Coturnix japonica: one gene and its partners. The protein of the gene in region 2 interacts with the protein of the main gene of each other region in a biochemical or structural test. Links are inferred from orthologs where the notes say so. Each region holds a gene or a part of one and is shown on either strand. Other genes may lie near its edges.

The links.
Region 1: the proteins of PEX5 (region 2) and PEX7 form a complex in vitro, tested with the Homo sapiens proteins (3 studies listed by BioGRID). The link is inferred for Coturnix japonica from reciprocal best matches to the Homo sapiens genes PEX5 and PEX7.
Region 3: the proteins of PEX5 (region 2) and DDO form a complex in vitro, tested with the Homo sapiens proteins (2 studies listed by BioGRID, with this or other methods). The link is inferred for Coturnix japonica from reciprocal best matches to the Homo sapiens genes PEX5 and DDO.
Region 4: the proteins of PEX5 (region 2) and AGXT are reported together in a solved structure, tested with the Homo sapiens proteins (2 studies listed by BioGRID and IntAct, with this or other methods). The link is inferred for Coturnix japonica from reciprocal best matches to the Homo sapiens genes PEX5 and AGXT.

Annotation. Positions count from the first base shown.
Region 1 is NC_029518.1:49,693,444-49,697,911, forward strand, and holds the start of PEX7 (peroxisomal biogenesis factor 7), read right to left. Parts: upstream 2,950-4,468; 5' UTR 2,940-2,949; coding exon 2,698-2,939; intron 1,895-2,697; coding exon of another isoform or gene 1,837-1,894; intron 393-1,836; coding exon 242-392; intron 1-241. UniProt on the Homo sapiens protein: Receptor required for the peroxisomal import of proteins containing a C-terminal PTS2-type peroxisomal targeting signal. Specifically binds to cargo proteins containing a PTS2 peroxisomal targeting signal in the cytosol.
Region 2 is NC_029516.1:69,672,509-69,676,925, forward strand, and holds the start of PEX5 (peroxisomal biogenesis factor 5), read left to right. Parts: upstream 1-1,595; 5' UTR 1,596-1,678; intron 1,679-1,728; exon of another isoform or gene 1,729-1,847; intron 1,848-1,867; exon of another isoform or gene 1,868-2,001; 5' UTR 2,002-2,042; coding exon 2,043-2,192; intron 2,193-2,554; coding exon 2,555-2,590; intron 2,591-2,769; coding exon 2,770-2,902; intron 2,903-3,305; coding exon 3,306-3,440; intron 3,441-4,063; coding exon 4,064-4,169; intron 4,170-4,417. Other genes in the region: solute carrier family 25 member 36-like, read right to left, coding at 498-580.
Region 3 is NC_029518.1:60,550,897-60,555,344, reverse strand, and holds the start of DDO (D-aspartate oxidase), read right to left. Parts: upstream 3,067-4,448; 5' UTR 2,487-3,066; intron 1,441-2,486; 5' UTR 1,320-1,440; coding exon 1,145-1,319; intron 1,005-1,144; coding exon 896-1,004; intron 467-895; exon of another isoform or gene 359-466; intron 281-358; coding exon 104-280; intron 1-103. UniProt on the Homo sapiens protein: Selectively catalyzes the oxidative deamination of acidic amino acids. Suppresses the level of D-aspartate in the brain, an amino acid that can act as an agonist for glutamate receptors. Protects the organism from the toxicity of D-amino acids.
Region 4 is NC_029524.1:3,726,752-3,731,159, reverse strand, and holds the start of AGXT (serine--pyruvate aminotransferase), read right to left. Parts: upstream 2,979-4,408; 5' UTR 2,939-2,978; coding exon 2,702-2,938; intron 2,628-2,701; coding exon 2,435-2,627; intron 2,291-2,434; coding exon 2,226-2,290; intron 2,158-2,225; coding exon 2,057-2,157; intron 1,984-2,056; coding exon 1,913-1,983; intron 1,780-1,912; coding exon 1,695-1,779; intron 1,514-1,694; coding exon 1,418-1,513; intron 1,125-1,417; coding exon 1,055-1,124; intron 924-1,054; coding exon 828-923; intron 711-827; coding exon 582-710; intron 290-581; coding exon 182-289; 3' UTR 1-181. UniProt on the Homo sapiens protein: Peroxisomal aminotransferase that catalyzes the transamination of glyoxylate to glycine and contributes to the glyoxylate detoxification.

The DNA of each region.
Region 1 (4,468 bases), on a different chromosome or scaffold from region 2:
TATTACATTTATCAGACTAAGAGTTACCTACGACACGAGTGTGAATGTGCAAATGAATATGTATAATATATTAACTTTATACTGAAAATAACATGAAGCTTTAAATTCAAATCATTGGCCCAAACAAAGTTAAAAAAAAATAGATGACAGAAAACACTTTTGATTTTGAGTGCTCAAATATCCCCTTTAGTAATTCAAGTATTAGACAGTCCAGCAAATTCCTGCAGTTTGCTGGATTTACCTCCTGAGTGTGCTCCTTATAGACTTGCAGTGGACCTTTGGGCTTCGCTATATCCCAGATCTGCAGAGACCCATCCCCGCTAGAAGTGATCAACACGTGCTCATTATTCTCACTCCATGTCACATCAAACAGGCCGTCATTCCAGTCAAAGCTGAACAGAAACAATGAAGATATTTGTCCATGGGAAAGCATAACACAAATCCGGACTAGCTGTGTGCAAAGACAGTAGCTTTTTATAATCAACCTGCTTACCATTCTGAACAGCTTATTTACCCATTTCAGTTTCCAGTGAATCTCCTCATAAGCAACTTACTGGATACAATGTTAACTTCTACAAGAATAGGTTGACTACGGTCAGAGTAGGTCAATTAAAGTGTAAGTGAGCCAAGGACCTCAGACACAGAGAATGGAATCTGACTTCAGTTCTAAACTGCTGAGAAGTCAGATGAGAGGTGCTACACATCTCAGACTAACCTACCATCTCTCCAGGATGCTGCTGCTACAGTGGTCAGAGCCTGCAGTCCACAATAACTGTGGTAATCAAAGAAATAAAACCATGTTGGGAGGTCTCTATTCAATCCACAACACCATTAAGAATCTGAGTGACAATGAAAAACCAAGAGAAGAGCAGTCATGAAAATATTAAAGATCTCTGTAACTCCTAAAAAGGGCTTTCAGCACACCACCCATTCATCCTCCAGGATCAAGTACCGTGTGCTGGTTGCTCTGCAACACCTATTAATAACCACACTGTTATCTCATAGTAAATACGACCTATTTACCCCCCTCTCACTGAAGGTTTAACTCAGCTCAGATTAAGCTTCATAGCACACTGCAGTAATTATGAAGAGAAAGGCACACACACAGAAAGCTTCTATGGGGAAAATGGCATAGCTCGGTGCTCAGGAAAGCACAGGACTTTCCACCACAGAATAAGTGGAGTCTCTAGAAACACAGAAATGAACAGAACACTTTGTAGAATGAAGAGCGTGTTTAACAGTTTCAGAGAGTCAGGTGGATAATTATGAATTAAAAACAGCTTATCAGATTTTTCTAATTTCTTGCTTAATACTTATATCTCATTTCCCTTCTTAATCTAAACAACTGTTGTTTGCATAATTAGGTGAATAGAGGCTAAGCACTAACCCCTCCCCTTCTCCCACCCAGAACATGGACCAAACTCCTCTCTTGGAGCATTCCATCTCCAAGAAAGGACTTCCTTGACTTATCCCAGCTTCCTGCTCTATTTTCAATCTAAGCCAACCTTAAAGGGATAAACAGAGGTGACACCTGCAATAACAACCAAACTTCCAATGTCAAGCTGGGTCAGAGCTTTTAATTTACACTGCCAGTTTTCCATAAAACGGCTTACACTATGGAAAAGGTGTCATCTGAATTACTTTTTGTAATGAGACGTGGAATGTAAGCCAATCATTTGCACCTCGATAAAAATATATGTGTACAGCAGACAATATAGTACAGATACAACAGTTTACATTGATAACAATACACCAAAATGTTCGGGATGGGTTTTCTACAAACAACAATACAGGTTTACACCTTATTTTCACAACAGAGAATATTTACAGCATTACCTCCTGAGCAGGACAATCCCAGTTTCATTTTGTTCCAGCACTGCCAGAGTTCCACAACCTAAAACAGCACAGTATAACCAAACATCACAACTCCTTGCTCACACCAAAGGTCCTACAAGTTCTGTGATAGCTCCTGTGAGCGTAAGGAAGCTAAACTTCTTTAAGAGGCCACACAGTTAGTTGTGCAACAGCCTGTTGCCTCTTCTGCTCTCCAAAACAGGATTTCATTTACATCAAGTTCTCCTCCCCCAGTACACCTGTGGTTGAGGCTGGAAAAGCAGCACCTCCTGCACAGAAGTCACAGAATCACAGAATGACCCGGGTTGGAAGGGACCTCAAGGATCATGTAGTTCCAACCCCCCTGCCTGGCAGGGCCACCAAACATACACCTTTACTAGATCAGGTTGCCCAGGGCCCTGTCCAACCTGGTCTTGAACACCTCCAAGGACGGGGCATCCACAACCTCCCTGGGCAGCCTGTTCCAGAGCCTAACCACTCTCCTAGTGAAGAACTTCCCCCTAACATCCAACCTAAATCTTCCCTCTTTCAACTTAAAACCATTTCCCCGTGTCCTGCTACTGTCAGCCCTAAGTGCACCCCCACACACAAGCATTGGCCCTGTGTTATAGGTATACCAGGACCAGCTCCTTTCTACCTCTTCAGTAACACAGCAGATGTAGCTTTTGTTTGTATTTATTTCCACTCTGTGAAAATAGAGTGGAAATGCAAATTCCTCCAACCCCGAGGCAGCCTGTTCTGCACCCCCACCGGGCCGGCCGAGCACCCAACACAAGGGCAGCGCTACACTATGTCACAGGGAGAAAATACCATCAGTCGGCCCGTTTGCCTCAAGTACATCACCTGCGATGCCGTAGTACTGCGCAGCGGCGCAGGCCACACGGCCTGGCCAGTATGGCGAGAACTCGGCCGCGTAGCCGTGCAGCCCCGGCAGCCTCAGCACGCCGCCGCCCGCCGTGCCCATGGCCCCGGCCCGGCCCGGCCCGAGCTTGGGAGGCGGCACCGCTGAGCTGCGTCGGAAGAGTCCCGCCCGCCACGCTGAGGCGGTGCCGCCATCTTTGGCGCTGGCAGCATAGCGGGCACATAGTTTCGGGGTTCACCGACAGAGGTCCTTCTTGACCATGGGACAGGAGAATGCTTTGTTTTGAGGACGTGTTAATAGGGTGTTTGTAGACATCGATGGCCAAGGAGCAGACAGAACGTTATGAGAAAGACTAGTTCCCCATACCGTTTATTTCCCCACAGACAAGCTTGTGCATTCACGCTTCGATGGCCTTTAGAAATAGCCGTTTTGTTTCACTTCCTAACAGAAGTATTTGTGTATCGAGATTGAAAGGAAGATACGGTAACAACTAGAGAAATAAATAAATAAATAAATAAATAAATAAATAAATAATAAAAAAGCTGTGCCAGGGGAGATTCAGGCTGGACATTAGGAAGTATTACTTCTCAGAAAGGGCAGTCAGGCATTGGAATGCACTGCCCAGGGAGGTGGTGGAGTCACCGACCATGGGAGTGTTCAAGAAAAGTCTGGATGTTGTGTTGAGGAATATGATTTAGCTGGGAAGTATTTGTAATGGTTGGACTAGATGATTTTCTAGGTGTTTTCCAACCTTGATAATTCTGTGATTCTGAAAAGCTATTTTACGAGCAGAGAGAGTAGGGAAACGCGAGTATTTCCGCCTAGGGTCCAGGGCATGTGAGTAAATCCCAGAGGGACAAAGGACAGCCGGTAACAGTAGCGTTTCATAGCAGCATAGAAACCAGCTGTGCTACCGGCCGGCTCCTCCCAACACAGAATCACAGAATCACAGAATGACCCGGGTTGGAAGGGACCTCAAGGATCATGTAGTTCCAACCCCCCTGTCTAGCACAAAGCCCGTGTAGCCACAACGCCCCGTTAGATGGCAGCCGTGCTCCACCAACAGCCCTCCACTGCGAGTATTTTGCTCACAAAGCATCACTTCAATGAATTGATTCCCCACCCTCTCAGTATGCAAAGTATAGGCTCTGTTTATACTGCAGTCACTTCTTCGAGCTCAGCTCATCACCCTACGCACCTTATTGGCATTGGAACATGCGGTCAAGATGCTGACTGGATCCCTGCATCCAGTTCTCCTCCTTTTCAGAGCACTGATCTCTGTTCTGCCATAGACACATGCACGTCATTCCCTCAGCTTGCTTGTCTGACAGCCAGTTTAGGCATGAGCTGAGCTGGTGGCAAGCACTTCTACATACACAAATCCTTAAAGAATCTGTTATCAGCAAGAGAATACTGCAGGCATTAATAATAATAACAACAACAACAACAACAACAACAACAACAACAACAACAACAATAATAAAACATTGCAAAATGAGCCTTTCTATCACAGAAAGTAGACTGTGAGCTGTTCCTTTAGGCTTAAGGATAAACAGCTTAAAACGCTGGGGAATGCAGTAAGCTCTTTTCTAGTTATTGAGTCATGCATTAGGCTTAATGCCATCAATATTTTACTCTTTGACAGTGAATGTTTACTGACTGAAAGGAATGAAGAGGTTTTCCCAGCTGAAATTTCCATACAGTCATTAGGCTGCATGAGTCGAAGCTTTAAGGGAAGCATTTAGCATCCCG
Region 2 (4,417 bases):
GGTTATGTAACCTGAGATTCACACCAGCAAAGAAGTATAGCATCATACCACTACAGACTTAAAAGACTTATCAAACCTTATTTTGGATAGCTGAAAATGGTGATAACTTGAAGACTAATCTCCATCTATACCAGGATTCTGTCCATAATAACTGCTGCCTATAGAAGAGAAGAAACACTCTCCTGAAGAACACTCTCCCAGCCTTTAGAAATGTCCAGGTCCTAGATTTCCTCAGGCAGATGTGTTACATCACATTCAATAACGGCTTTAAGCTGGCAGAGGGTACATTTAGGATGAATAAGAGGAAGAAATTCTTTACTGTGAGGGTGGTGAGATGCTGGAACAGGTTGTGGAGCAGGTTGTGGGGGGGTTGTGGGTGCCCCCTCCCTGGAAGCATTCAAGGCCAGGCTGGATGGGGCTGTGAGCAGCCTGGTTTAAAGGCAGGTGTCCCTCCCTATAGCAGGGGGGCCGTGTGCCGGCCGCAAAGGACCACTCACCCTCCGGCGAACAGGTGCAGTAGGGTGCTATGCTGTGCCATGGCACGGCGCTCCGTCGGAAGGCTCCGCTGCTCTGCGGGCATGGTTGGGATCCGTCACCGGCAGCCCGAGGGAGAGGCCTGGCCCGCCCGCCCTACACTCGCATTGGCTCCCCGGGCGGAGGCGGGCAGCCCGGAAGGCCGCATGTGGGGCGGGACGATGGGGCTGGGGTTGCTCCGGATCCCTGTGCTAAGCTACACCCACGGCTCGTGGGCTGTGGGCGGTAGGGCTGTGTGTGCTGCTGATGCTTGTAACTGTGGGCCGAATCCAGGTGTCCTGGATCCCACCCCTTGCAACAGTGATATACGTTACCCACTGTAGAATAACATCACAATGACACAAGAGCCAGGCTGGCAGATGTCTGTACAGGAGGTATCCTTGGGGTATTTCAGCCACCAGTGAGCCACAGAACCAAAGGAAGATGTAATCTAAAGTGAAGCTCCACAAACGTCATTGGTGTGGGTCCAATGACCCACACGTCCAGGGATAGGGAGGTGATTGTCCCTCTCTACTCGGCTCTTGTGAGGCCCCATCTGGAGTACTGTGTCCAGGTGTGGAGCCCTCAGTACAAAAAAGATATGGAGATTTTGGAAAGGGTCCAGAGGAGGGACACGAAGATGATCAGGGGGCTGGAGCACCTCCCCTATGAGGACAGGCTGAGGGAGCTGGGTTTGTTCAGCCTAGAGAAGAGAAGGTTGCGGGGTGACCTCATTGCAGCCTTTCAATACCTGAAGGGAACTTACTCCCAGGAGGGGAGTAAACTCTTGGAAAGGGCTGACAATAGCAGGACACGGGGAAATGGTTTTAAGTTAAAAGAGGGAAGATTTAGGTTGGATGTTAGGGGGAAGTTCTTCACTAGGAGAGTGGTTAGGCCCTGGAACAGGCTGCCCAGGGAGGTTGTGGATGCCCCGTCCTTGGAGGTGTTCAAGACCAGGTTGGACGGGGCCCTGGGCAACCTGATCTAGTAAAGGTGTATGTTTGGTGGCCCTGCCAGGCAGGGGGGTTGGAACTACATGATCCTTGAGGTCCCTTCCAACCCGGGTCATTCTGTGTGATTCTGTGGGTGCCGGATTTGACGAGGTGCCTGTTCCTTTAAGAGCTGTCCCCGCCCCCCGCCCAGCCCCGCGACCCAGAGTCTCCAGGTACGGGGTGGGCTGTGGGGGAGGGCTCCCGTGACTTGGCGTGGCCCACCCGGCGGCTTTGCGGGGTAGTGGGGGGGGGCTTGCGGTGCTACCGTCGCTGTGGGGCTGGGGCCGGCGCCCAGCGGGCCAGACCGTGGTGTGCGGCCTGGTTGTCTGGCCGGTTTGTGGGGTAAATCCGGGTGAGGCTGGGGCAGGGGAGGTGGAGTGAAGGCAGCCAGACGAACGTCCCGGTGCTCAGGCGGGTTCCGGCTCGGGGCGCAGGCTGCCGGGGTGGGTGTCTGAGCGCTCCGCCTGACGTGGGCCCGGTGTCGCCCCGGGGCCAGGTGCTGCCCGCAGGGGTCTGGCGCTGCCCGTGCCTCTCGCCATGGCTATGAGGGAGCTGGTGGAGCCGGAGTGCGGGGGCTCCAACCCCCTGCTGAAGCTGGCCGGCCACTTCACCCAGGACAAGGCCTTGCGGCAGGAAGGGCTCCAGGGATCCCTCGGTTGGCCGCCGGGCGCGGCGGGGGCCGCTGCTGTGAGTGTCGAGGGGCGCTTCGATCGCTGAGGGCAACGGGGGGTGGGCTGCTTTGCGTGGGAAAGGGGCTGTGGGGCTGTCCGGGCTGTCAGCAGGGTGGTGGGCCTTGGTCTTGCTCGTAGTGGCTGAGTCTGGGGGTGCTGGCAGGATGGTAGCAGCCGTGGGGGGGTCGCATGCCTTGCTAATGCAGTGGCTAACCCATAGGGGGTGGTGGGAAGATGTTCCTGCACCTATAGCTGGGACACGTGCAGGCAGCTAATGCAATGGTCAGCCTGACCTGAAGGGAGAAAAGGATGTGAGCCAATTGGGGTGCTGTGTGGGTAGCCCAAGCTGTTGAGGTGACTGCTCACTGTTACTTCTAGGTATCCAAGCCATTGGGAGTAGCCTCAGAAGATGAGGTAAGAACAAATGGATGCATGTCCTTATTACCTTTCTCTTCAGTGCTTAGTTTGCTGTTTGTCCCTGTGTCTGATTTTACTCTTCTGTTGAGTCTGTTTCTTTCTCCCTCTCTGTGGCTCTACCTGTTTGTCTCCCATGCTTTAGATGATGAATGTCAATCTCTCACTGTCTTTGACAGCTGGTCGGAGAGTTCCTGCAAGGGCAGAATGCCCCGTTACTGTCCCATGCACCCCAGACCTTTAAGATGGATGACCTGTTGGCTGAGATGCAAGAGATTGAACAGTCGAGCTTCCGTCAGGCTCCTCAGCGAGGTGAGGGGAGCTGGAGTAAGTGGATGCTGGGAAAGGTCTTGGTGCTGTGGTTAAACTCTTAATGGGGTGGTTCCCTCTGTTATGAGGTTATGTGGAGCAGTGTTTCCAGCTTTGGACTTCCCAGTATGCTGACACACTGTAGTAGATGCTTAGGGATTCTGGGGAATCTCCAGACCTTGAGAAGTTTAGAAGCTACTTGATCAATACCCTGAGCCATCAGATCTAATTTTGGTGTCATTTTTTTTTCTTCTTATAAGAACACTTGCAGCCTTCAGAGATTCCTTCTAAATAGAATCTTCTGGTGATTTTATTCTAATGAACAGAAAGGACCTGCTCAGAGATGACGATGGCTACCTGAAGATTCCTTTGAGTCCTCTCGCATTCACTTGTGTTTTTCTTCTAGCTCCAGGTGTGGCAGCCCTTGCACTGTCTGAAAACTGGACCCAGGAGTTCTTGGCTGCAGCAGATACTGCTGGAGATGTCTCTTCAGATTACAATGAGGCTGACTGGTCACAGGAATTCATTGCTGAAGTGACAGGTGAAGTGTCCCCTTTGGAGTTATTGTTGGGATGTCGCCCGGTCACATGCATGCATGCAGTTTATTTAGTGAGTTTAAAACTGAAGTAATGCTTTTAGGTGGTAGTTAATCTGAAAAGCCATCTTGCATTGCGTATGGAGCTGTGTGCTGAATATAGTCCTTTGACCATCTAGCACCTAACCTGGAAACGATGTGTCAGATTTAACTAGATCCTGTTCTGTTCCCCAGGGGTGGTCACTGTAGAAAGCCAGGCAGTTCCATTCATTGATCAGCAGTCTTGATACTGATTTTGACAGAGACTTGTAACGCATTGCTGATTTCCTTGACCTACATAGTATCCCTCATGGAGCAGGTGTTTAAATAATGAAGTGGAAGTAGAAAGTAAAGATGTTGCCAACACAGAGGCATTTGTATTAACACTCTGTCTGAGCCTAAGGCTTGATTATTGTTTTTTTTTGTTCAGGACGCAGTTAAAAGAAACAGGTATTAACATTCTTTCTTTGAAAAGGTCTTTACTGCATGTGTTAGATAACAGTATGTAAAACGATGAAAGCAAAATCTGAAGTTAATCTTAGTGATGTTACGCTTATCTCACTCTTTCCCTGTCCTAATGTCCATTGCAGATCCACTGTCTGTGTCTCCTGCCAAGTGGGCAGAAGAATACCTTGAGCAGTCAGAGGAGAAACTGTGGCTTGGGGAATCAGAAGACCAGTCGCTGTCAGATAAATGGTGAGTCTCTAGTCTCAAGACCAGTTATTGCTGCTAGGCTTCTGCATGGGTGAAGGCTGGACAGATGGTAGAGAAATATCTTGAATGGTTTTGAATCACTTATCTAGACATATGTTCTCAGATCTTAGTTTTAGAAGAAGGGAGAAAATGATGATTAAGAGATCGCTGTTTTCCTAGATTCTGGTTCCTGGAAATGCTGTGATCCTGTAGACTGATATAATCGAATAGGCACTGAAAAGCTCCTTAAT
Region 3 (4,448 bases), on a different chromosome or scaffold from region 2:
TTGCTGCTTTTTCCCTTCTCCAATTTCATCCATGCATACTGAGCTCCCGCCAGCCTCCCCACCTGGGCTTTTTTTCTGCTCACCCATCCTACCCCAAACCAACCTTTTCTCCAGCCACAGCAGGTAGCGGGGGCAGTCACACTTTAGTGTTGTAAAGGCCTGGCCATGGCTGTGCTGTGGGAACTTCTGCATTTCTGCTGCAGACATTGGTCGAAACCCCAGGACAACGTCAGACCAGAAAGGCACCTCAGCTTCGGAAGGGTTTTTAAAGATCTGCCAGCTGAAAGAACACAAGAAAAATAAGCTGCAAAACATAGCTGCTAGTGCTATGCCCCATTGCTGCAATCTTAGCACAAACCCAAGGATTCAGCAGTCTGTTCCTATTTGAACTACACAGCTCTGCAAAGGGCAATCACTTCTGCAGCATGTCCTGGCACACAGGCAGAAGGTCTGAGTGTTATACCCTGGGGCGGATCAACCAGAGAGAGGCTCAGTGTCCAGATTAAAAATTGTCAGATGCCAAGAACTGAAGAAAATACTATGATTACACCCATTGCATTCCTACACCAACTTGCTGAAGCCAGAGCATCCTGCAGTCCTACCCCTCCTGTGATCACCTCTGCTGCAAGCAACCAGCTAGTGATAACACATAAAATATCCATTATAAAAAATAGTTTGGGGCAGGCTAGTATCACATGGTTTCTCTATGCATACCAGTGCATGAACTCTGCTTGAGAATATATCCTAGTGGAGCAGCTGCAGTGCAGCTTCTTGGGAATATGGTCATGACAGCTACCCCATGAGAGGCATGAAGCTGAGCTTCAGAAAGAAAAACCTCTACCTGCTGCAGCACACAGTAGATGTCTGCCAAATGCTGCCCTTTGGCTGCTCTTACCCAGAGACCAGGTGAATGCCAGCTTCTGACGCCTCGGCTGAGTTGCAGATAGCAAAAAGGTAGGTGAAGGTCTCTTTGAACCACTGCTTCTGCACGTGGATTGGTGTGTCTGCACTCAAATACAATCAAACACACGAGGGTGAAAACACAAATAGGAGAAGTATAAAGGCGGCAGCAAGAAGACAGGACAGGTGGGAGTGAAAGAAAAGGTACTTTTCTCAAAATGCTGGCACACCAGCTCACACGCACCTGGGTAGGTGTGAGGGATGAGCATGCCAGCTGCCACGTCGCTCGTCGTGTTGGGGCTGAACTGCTCTGAAAGGAGGGTGATGGAGCAGCAGTTCGGGTTCACCTCAGCAATACGTAACGCTGTGGACAGTCCGATGAGCCCTGCTCCCACCACTGCCACCCTGGGGGCTGCCATCTGTGGGGTAGGGACTGGTGGAGACAGGCACCTATGGGCATTTGAGATGGTATATAGGTAACATGTCCCAGCTGCAGTGTGCACAGCATCCTGCTGGACAGCATCCTCACCTCTTAAACACCTGCACAGGACACAACATAACCTCTGGCAGCTAAATGAAGACTTGCCACTGCACAAAGGTGAGGGTGAGCATCACAATACCCCAGCACGACAACCCATGTTTGAGAAATGTCCCAACTCAGACAGTTCCTGCCTCATCCACAGCACAGAGCAAGAGAGAAGTTGGTGCATAGGGCACTGGTGTAATAATCTGTGGTAAGGCTTTTTCAGTGACTCCCAGGGAGTGAGGTATCCATCAATCTTCCTGTGGGGTCAGGAGTACTGTAGTGCCCCTTGGAGTTCTGGGAAAACTGGCCCCTCAGCCACCAAAAAGGAACAGTACTGTTTGGACATCAGCATCTGCAGACTCCCTAAAGCCAGGGAATAAATAAGCCCAGAGCAGACTGGACAGAGGAAGACATAATAAATCCTTCAGATTTATCTTTAATGAATGCAGTACATTATTATTAAGCTTTTATTCCTTGGCCTTTGACATATTTGATAATAGTCTGGATAAGACCAACTGTGTGAGTTTACATATATTTACAAGGTCCTTTCTCACAACACTTCATAGCTGCTCACTTTCCCAGCAGAATTACATGAAGTTTGATGTCATAGAATTGTAGAATCATGAAGGTTGGAAAAGACCACTAAAATCATCTAGTCCAACCGCCAACTTATCACCATTCACCATCATGCCCATTAAGCCATGTCCCTGCTGTGTGATAAGGGAGGGGGGGATAAGCACTGCTGCTTATCATTGCATTCTTTCTGCACCACAGCCCAGGGTTGTTGCAACTTCCCCTCCTGTTCTGGGATGATGCTTAACTCTTTTCCTGTCAATTATTACAACTTCTTTCACAAGGCAACCACAAAAATGCCCACACAGCAAGGAAAGAGAACACAGCTCAGGAGTAAAGGTGAACCCTGAACCAGCACTAACAACCCACTTTGCTGTCACCATAAACCCAGTCTGAAGAAATTCTGCTCTGAACACAAGCCACACCCCTCAGCCCTTCCAGCACCCTAAGGCCAGGACTAAGATGGGGATTGAATTTCCCAACTGACCTCTCTGCAGCTGGGGAAGAAAAGGGAACTGCAGCTCAGTAGCGGTTTGGATTTCACTGCAAACCTCCCTGGTTCAGATGGGATTTCCTCAGGCGAGCTGGTTCAATGTCGGCTGATCCCAGCACTGCAAAAGCTGTCAGGAGTGTGAGCAGGAAGGGGCTGCCGGTGCTGCTGGAGCCCACAGGAGCCCAGCCACGATGGACAGTTGTCACGCTGTTGTTCCAGCACTGACTGCTGTGAGACAGGAGCACATCAGGCCTTAATGTGCTAATGTGCCAAAAACTGAGTGCAAAGCAGAGGCTAAAGGCCACTCTAGTCCCAGCAGCAAGCACAGCCTGGCCCCAGCAAAGCTGCTGATGCAATGAGCAGATGATTACTCGCACTCCTGCCTTCATGCACCTGGGAGGGCTCATGAGGACAGGCTATTTTTACCCAGCATGGCCAGCCAGCAGACACAGTGCCCCTGCCACCCTCCTACTCCTCTGTGGCCAGAACAAATGGCCAGACCGGAGGAAAGCCATCGGTTTTGTTTCCCTGCAGCACAGGCAGATTCTGTTTCACCCATCTCCTGACATACCCAAGTGCAATCCCACCTCTGAGAGCCCCTGAGGCCTGCAGTGCAGCCCTGTGGCCCTGCTGCTGCCTGAGCAGGCTGCTGCCTCCCTCCCCTCCCCACTGAGCACCATTTCAGCTAACAAAAAACAAACCAAAACAGCAAGAGAGGGAGAGGGAGAGGAAGTACCTGGAGAAGAGAGGCTGAGTGGGCCCTGAGAGCTGCCCCAGCCCCACTGCTGCCGCAGGCTGTGTGTGTCCGGCCCAGCACTGGCTCTGAGCCCAGGCACAGCTGAGCCCCACTCTCCGGCTGCCAGAACTTGGCTTGCACAGATAGGAGGCTCCCAGGCTCCTCGATGCCACTTTACCTCCCTTACTAGCAATTAGCTGCACACTGGATGTTTCTGAAGTTGCCCCGAGCTCGCTGTAAGATTCCAGCAGGCAGTCAGAGTGGTGATAATGCACATGGCACCTCAGTCAGCATGGTCAATAAGAACAAGCCAGCCAGCCAAGCCTGCAAGCATTTGCACTGTCATCAGGAAAACACAACTTAGCCAGAAGCACACCTGCCTGCAGGATCCCCAGGGTCCTGATAACATTGTACAGCAGGGTGTTGTACTGCAGGGCACATGGTGTTGCTGTGGCATTTCAGCTGACAACTATCAGCCTGAACTCAGAGGGTCAGCAGTGCAGTTCCCCTCCATCCTCCTAGAGCAGCATTTGCCATGAATCCTCCTGGCAGCAGCCTTTTCCCTACAGCTTCAGCACAGAGCAGGAAGCCCCCAAGGGGCCTGGGAGCACAGCAGGAGAGCAAACATAGCACAGACTATGCACAGCACCTGCCTCACCTCCCTGTGGAGCTGCTCTGAAACCATGCAAGTAAAGACATGATCTAGTGCACACACACGATCACTGACCTTTTTCCTTCAGTGATAAAAAGAACAAGGAATAATTTTGCCAGAACAATAGCACAGCTTGATTTTCTCTCAAAGTTCTGAGAAGAACAGAGAATTGTATAAGACAGGGAAGAAATCTCTTAATATCAGAAAGGTACTGGCAATACTGATTTCCGTATCTAAAAGCCTCGTTGAAAATACTCATCAGAGAATGTTTATTTATCTTCAGTTCTTTTGCTACATTCACAACTACCTCAGTGAAAACTGCTTTTCTTTCTCATCACTGGCAATGAAACCACGGAGAGAACCTTTGTAAGAACTGCCCTGTGATGCTCTTTTTTTCCATCCAGAGCAAGTCATCTTTCTCCCAAGTGAAACATTAGAAGGCGATACGAGTAACTAGAGGGCCATCATCCAGGCTCATGGCTGGGTCCTTTCTTCCCCGCAACAAGCACTTGAGAGCTATCCAAGCCTATGTCAGACAGGAATGCAGGAGGAGTTTATCTGTCACTAA
Region 4 (4,408 bases), on a different chromosome or scaffold from region 2:
ACAGAAGGGATTGGAGGGGAGGGGGCCTGCAAGCTGGATCCTGCCCCCAGCCCCCCAAGCCCGTGGGGCTGCCGAGCCCCAAGCCAGGCAGGATGGGGAGCTGGGCACTGGGAGAGGAGGAAGGCTTTGGGCCACATCTGTGCCATGTCCTGCCGATGTGCTGCTCCCTGTGGGCATCTGCTCACAGCCTGCTGTGCTGGCAGTGCTGCAGGGCGTCTCGCAGGGCCTGCAGCAGGCGGTCCACGTTGTCCTGGGTCGCGTTGTGCCCCATGAGGCCGATCCGCAGCACCTGGAGGAGAAGGGCGGGTTTCCCCTGCAGCCCCCACCTTTGGGCCCCATGTGGGGCACACAACAAGCTGTATATACGTGTGTGCATCCCAGTCTGTTCCTATTTAACCCTCATTTCCTCTCTGTCATGATAAAGATATGTTACCCTACTAACTAATCACGTGTGCAGCTACTCTGTGTGGCAAGGAATGTTGCTTCAGGCAGCGGGGGCTGCACAGCCCTGTGCTAGTTGCATGGTGCACTGCCAGTGTCTGCAGCTGTGTGGGCTCAGAGATGGGGAGCATGCCGCTCACCTTGCCTGCAGTAGGGCCCAGGCCCCCAGAGATCTCAATGCTGTGTTTATCCATCAGGAAGGCTGTGATCTCCTTCCAGTTGTAGCCTTCAGGCACCCTGACGGTGGTGACGGTGGGCAACCGTGCCGCCTGGGGAGGAAAGGCACAGGGTTAGAGCCACACATCCCTTCTGCTTCCCTGAACCAGGGCTCCTCTCCAGCACCAGGGAAGCTCTGAGCTGTGTGGGTCTGTGCCCACATCCTGCACCTCCTCCTTCACGAAGAGCTCCAGCCCCAGATCCTGCAGCCCCTGGCACAGGCGGGTGCAGACAGCTTGGTGCTGCTTCCATGAGCTCTCCAGGCCCTGGCAGCAAAGAATAAATGTCCCCTGCCTGAATGTCCCATGCCACCACCGACAGCTGACCACACTCTGCTCCCCAAACCCTGCTATAACACAGGTGTGGCCCAGATCAGCTGTCCCTATGCCCAGCTCACCAGCTCCGCCAGCCCGGCCAAGGCCTCCCGCAGGCAGAAGATGCTGCTGACGGGCCCTGTGTGGTGGTACCTGCAAAATCCAGGGAGCCCCAAGGCAGGCTCAGCTGCTGCAAGCCCCTGGGGCAGGCATGTGGGAGAGGTAGGGAGAAGTGGGGAGCAGTGGCAGAGTCTCTGGGGAGGGGACCTGGGCAGGGATGCAAAGCTGGGACAAAGGGGCTGTTTTGGGGGCAAGGAGAAGAAATGCAAATAGAGCAGAGCAACTGGATAAGATGGGGGGCTTTGGATTTAGGCTAGATTTAGGGCTAGGGTTTGGAATGTGGTGGGGCAGCCACAGCTTCCTGTCTGGGTACAGCCCGCCCTCACATGCGTGGCTCTCCATCGCAGCCCCAGTAGCTCGCCAGACAGCTCATGTCCAGGTAGAAGGATGGGGGCCTCGTCTTCCTCCTCTGCATCTTCTCCCTGGCAGAACACAGCACTTGAGCGCTGCCCCATGGAAGGGAGAGCCCCTCTACCCACTGCTTGCCCTGGAGCACAGAGCCTGAAGTGAGCACTGGGTTGGCATTGCAGCCAGGGGATGTGGCCAAGGAGGGGGGTCCTCCTACCTGTGCCCCCAGCCCTGCTGGGACGGGGCAGTCCTTACCTTGCTCGCTCACTGAATGAGATAGGAGAGATGCCAGGGGGGGCACTGAGGACTTTCTGGGACCCCGTGTATAGTACATCAATCCCTGCATGAGAGGGACCAAGGGCTCTGAGCAGGACTCTGCCCCACTGCCAGTGGGAAACGCAGGGCACACACCACAGGTGCTGGTGTGGGGGCACTCAGGGACCCCTGTTCCTCGCTAGCACCGCGGCTCTCACCCTGCTGGTCCATGAGGATGGGCACTCCCCCGAGCGATGCCACCGCATCCACAAGCAGCAGGCAGCCGTGCCTGGAGGGGGACCAGAGCTCAGCCCCACAGCCCCCTGCAGCCCAGCCCTGCTGGGGTCCCCAGGAGCACTGACCGGTGGCACAGCTCGCCCAGCCCCTCCAGTGGCTGCCGGACCCCCGTGGAAGACTCGCCGTGAGTGAGGAAGAGCACTGAGGGTTTGTGCTGTGCCAAGCCCTGGGTGAGAACAGCACAGTGAGAACCTGTGTGGGGCTCAGTCCCGGTGCCCCACAGGTGGCACATACCTCCTGAATGTCCCTCAAGGTGAAGTATTCACCCGGAGGCTTCAGCAGCTCATGGACCTTGGCTCCTGGGGGGAAATGTACAGAGGGATGTGGAGTTTTGGGCACACATTAATCGGGTGCCTGACACAAACTGCCCTGAGGGTGTCACCCCACAAAACCTGAGCTCTCTGCATGGCTCAGGCTGTCAGCTCACATACAAGCAGCCATACCCAGCCTCCTGGCGACGTCAGCAGCACGCTCTCCCCAGATGCCGTTGTTGCCCACCAGCACGGTGTCACTGCTCTCCAGCAGGTTGATAAGGGCAGCCTCCATGGCGCAGTGCCCGGTGCCGCTGACAGCCAACGTGATCCGGTTCCGCGTCTGGAAGGCGTACTGGATGCCCGCCTTGATCTCTTCCATCACCTGAGATAAGGACCAGCACCGCCGTCAGCCCAGTAACACAGGGGGTGTGGGCTGCTGGGGCAGAGCCAACTCACCTGCAGCACCTCGGGATGCATGTGGCCCACGATCTGCTGGCTGCCGGCTGCCCGCACTCGGGGGGACAGGTTGCTGGGCCCCGGCCCCAGCAGCAGCCGGTAGGGCACGGCCAGTGGCCGCAGCAGCTCACGGGGCGGGGGGATATGGGGTGTGGGAGCAGCCATGGCACAGGCAGCTGTGCTGCAAGCCCGCAGGAGAGCTGCTATGGATATCGGCAGTGCTGTGGTGCGGTGCATCCCCTGCCCACGGCCACACGGACAATGACCGCCGGACTCTGCCCCCGCCACCTCCCATCCAGTTAATGTGCCACCAGCAGTGCAGTGTACTCAGCACTGTTCTCGTGGGGTGGCCGGGGGATGCAGTGCCCCACACCGGGCTCCGTCAGCCGTGACGGGGAATGTTGTCACTGAGGTTCTCAGTGCTTTCTTTACAACAGTCAGGCCAGTAAACCTCAAGGTATTCAGCTCCCTGTGTTGGAAGGTAGGAGTGGGGGCAGAACAAAATGCCATGTGTAGGAGGAAACAGCAACCTCCTGCCTCACCTGGGCTGAGCCAAGTCCATGGGGCCATTGGGACCCAGCTGGGGGTGCTGAGAGGGTGAAGTGATTGCTGAGCTGCTTTCCATCATCTGTCAGTGGTCCTGGTCAGCTGGGGAGGTGCAGGTGACTGGAGATTGCTAATGTGACACCCACCTTCTAGAAGGGTCATAAGGAGGATCCGGGGAGCTACAGATGTGTCTGCTTGACCTCGGTGCCAGGGAAGTTAATGGAGCAGATCATCTTGAGTGAGATCACATGGCATGTGTAGGACAACTGGGGGATCAGGCCCAGCCAGCACAGCTTCATGGCAGGCAGGTCCTGTCTGACCAACCTGATCTATGACCGGCTGACCCAGCTGGTGGATGATGGAAGGGCTGTGGATGTAATAACCTACATAGACTGCAGCAGAGCCTGCGGCTCTATCCCACAGCACACTCGTGGAGAAGCAGCGGCCATGGCTGGGACAGGTATATGAATTGCTGGGCGGGCAGCAGCACGGGCGGAGGCTCCGAGAGATGGGAGAGGGGCCGGTTGCCGTGGTGCCGGTTGCCGTGGTGCCGGTTGCCGTGGTGCCGCAGGTCCCGCCTCTCCCCGCACCCTTGCGGCGGATCCGCATCGCGGGGCCGGGGGTGGCGGGGATGGTGGGGTGGGATGCGGTGACGTAACCGGCGTTGGCCAATGGGACCGAGGGGGTGGGGAGGGGCAGGGCGGCACCGCAGGGGAGGGGCCGACACCGCCCGCACCGACACCGGCATCGGCGGCGGTACCGGCATCACCAGCGGCGGTACCGGCATCACCAGCGGCGGTACCGGCATCACCAGCGGTGCCGGCCCCATGCCGGTGCTGAGAGGCTGAGCGCAGCGCCCCGCCGCCCACGGGCACAGGTAGGGGCGGCGGCACCGGCATCGCGCGGGACCCGTCCGGGAGGAGCTCGGGGCCGCCGCCCCATCGGGGCGCAGAGGGGCAGCGGGGGCTGCCCGGCACCGTGCGGGGACGGGGATGGGGGGCACGGCGGGCACGGCGGGCACGGAGCCGCCGCGGCTTCCAGAAGCATCTGTCGGGGGGAGGCGATGCCCCGGGGGCGGCAGGTGCAGCGCTGCGGGCTCGTGCGCCGTCATCGTTCCGCTTCGGGGTGAACGGCGGCGGAGATCCGCGCGTGGCACCGCTG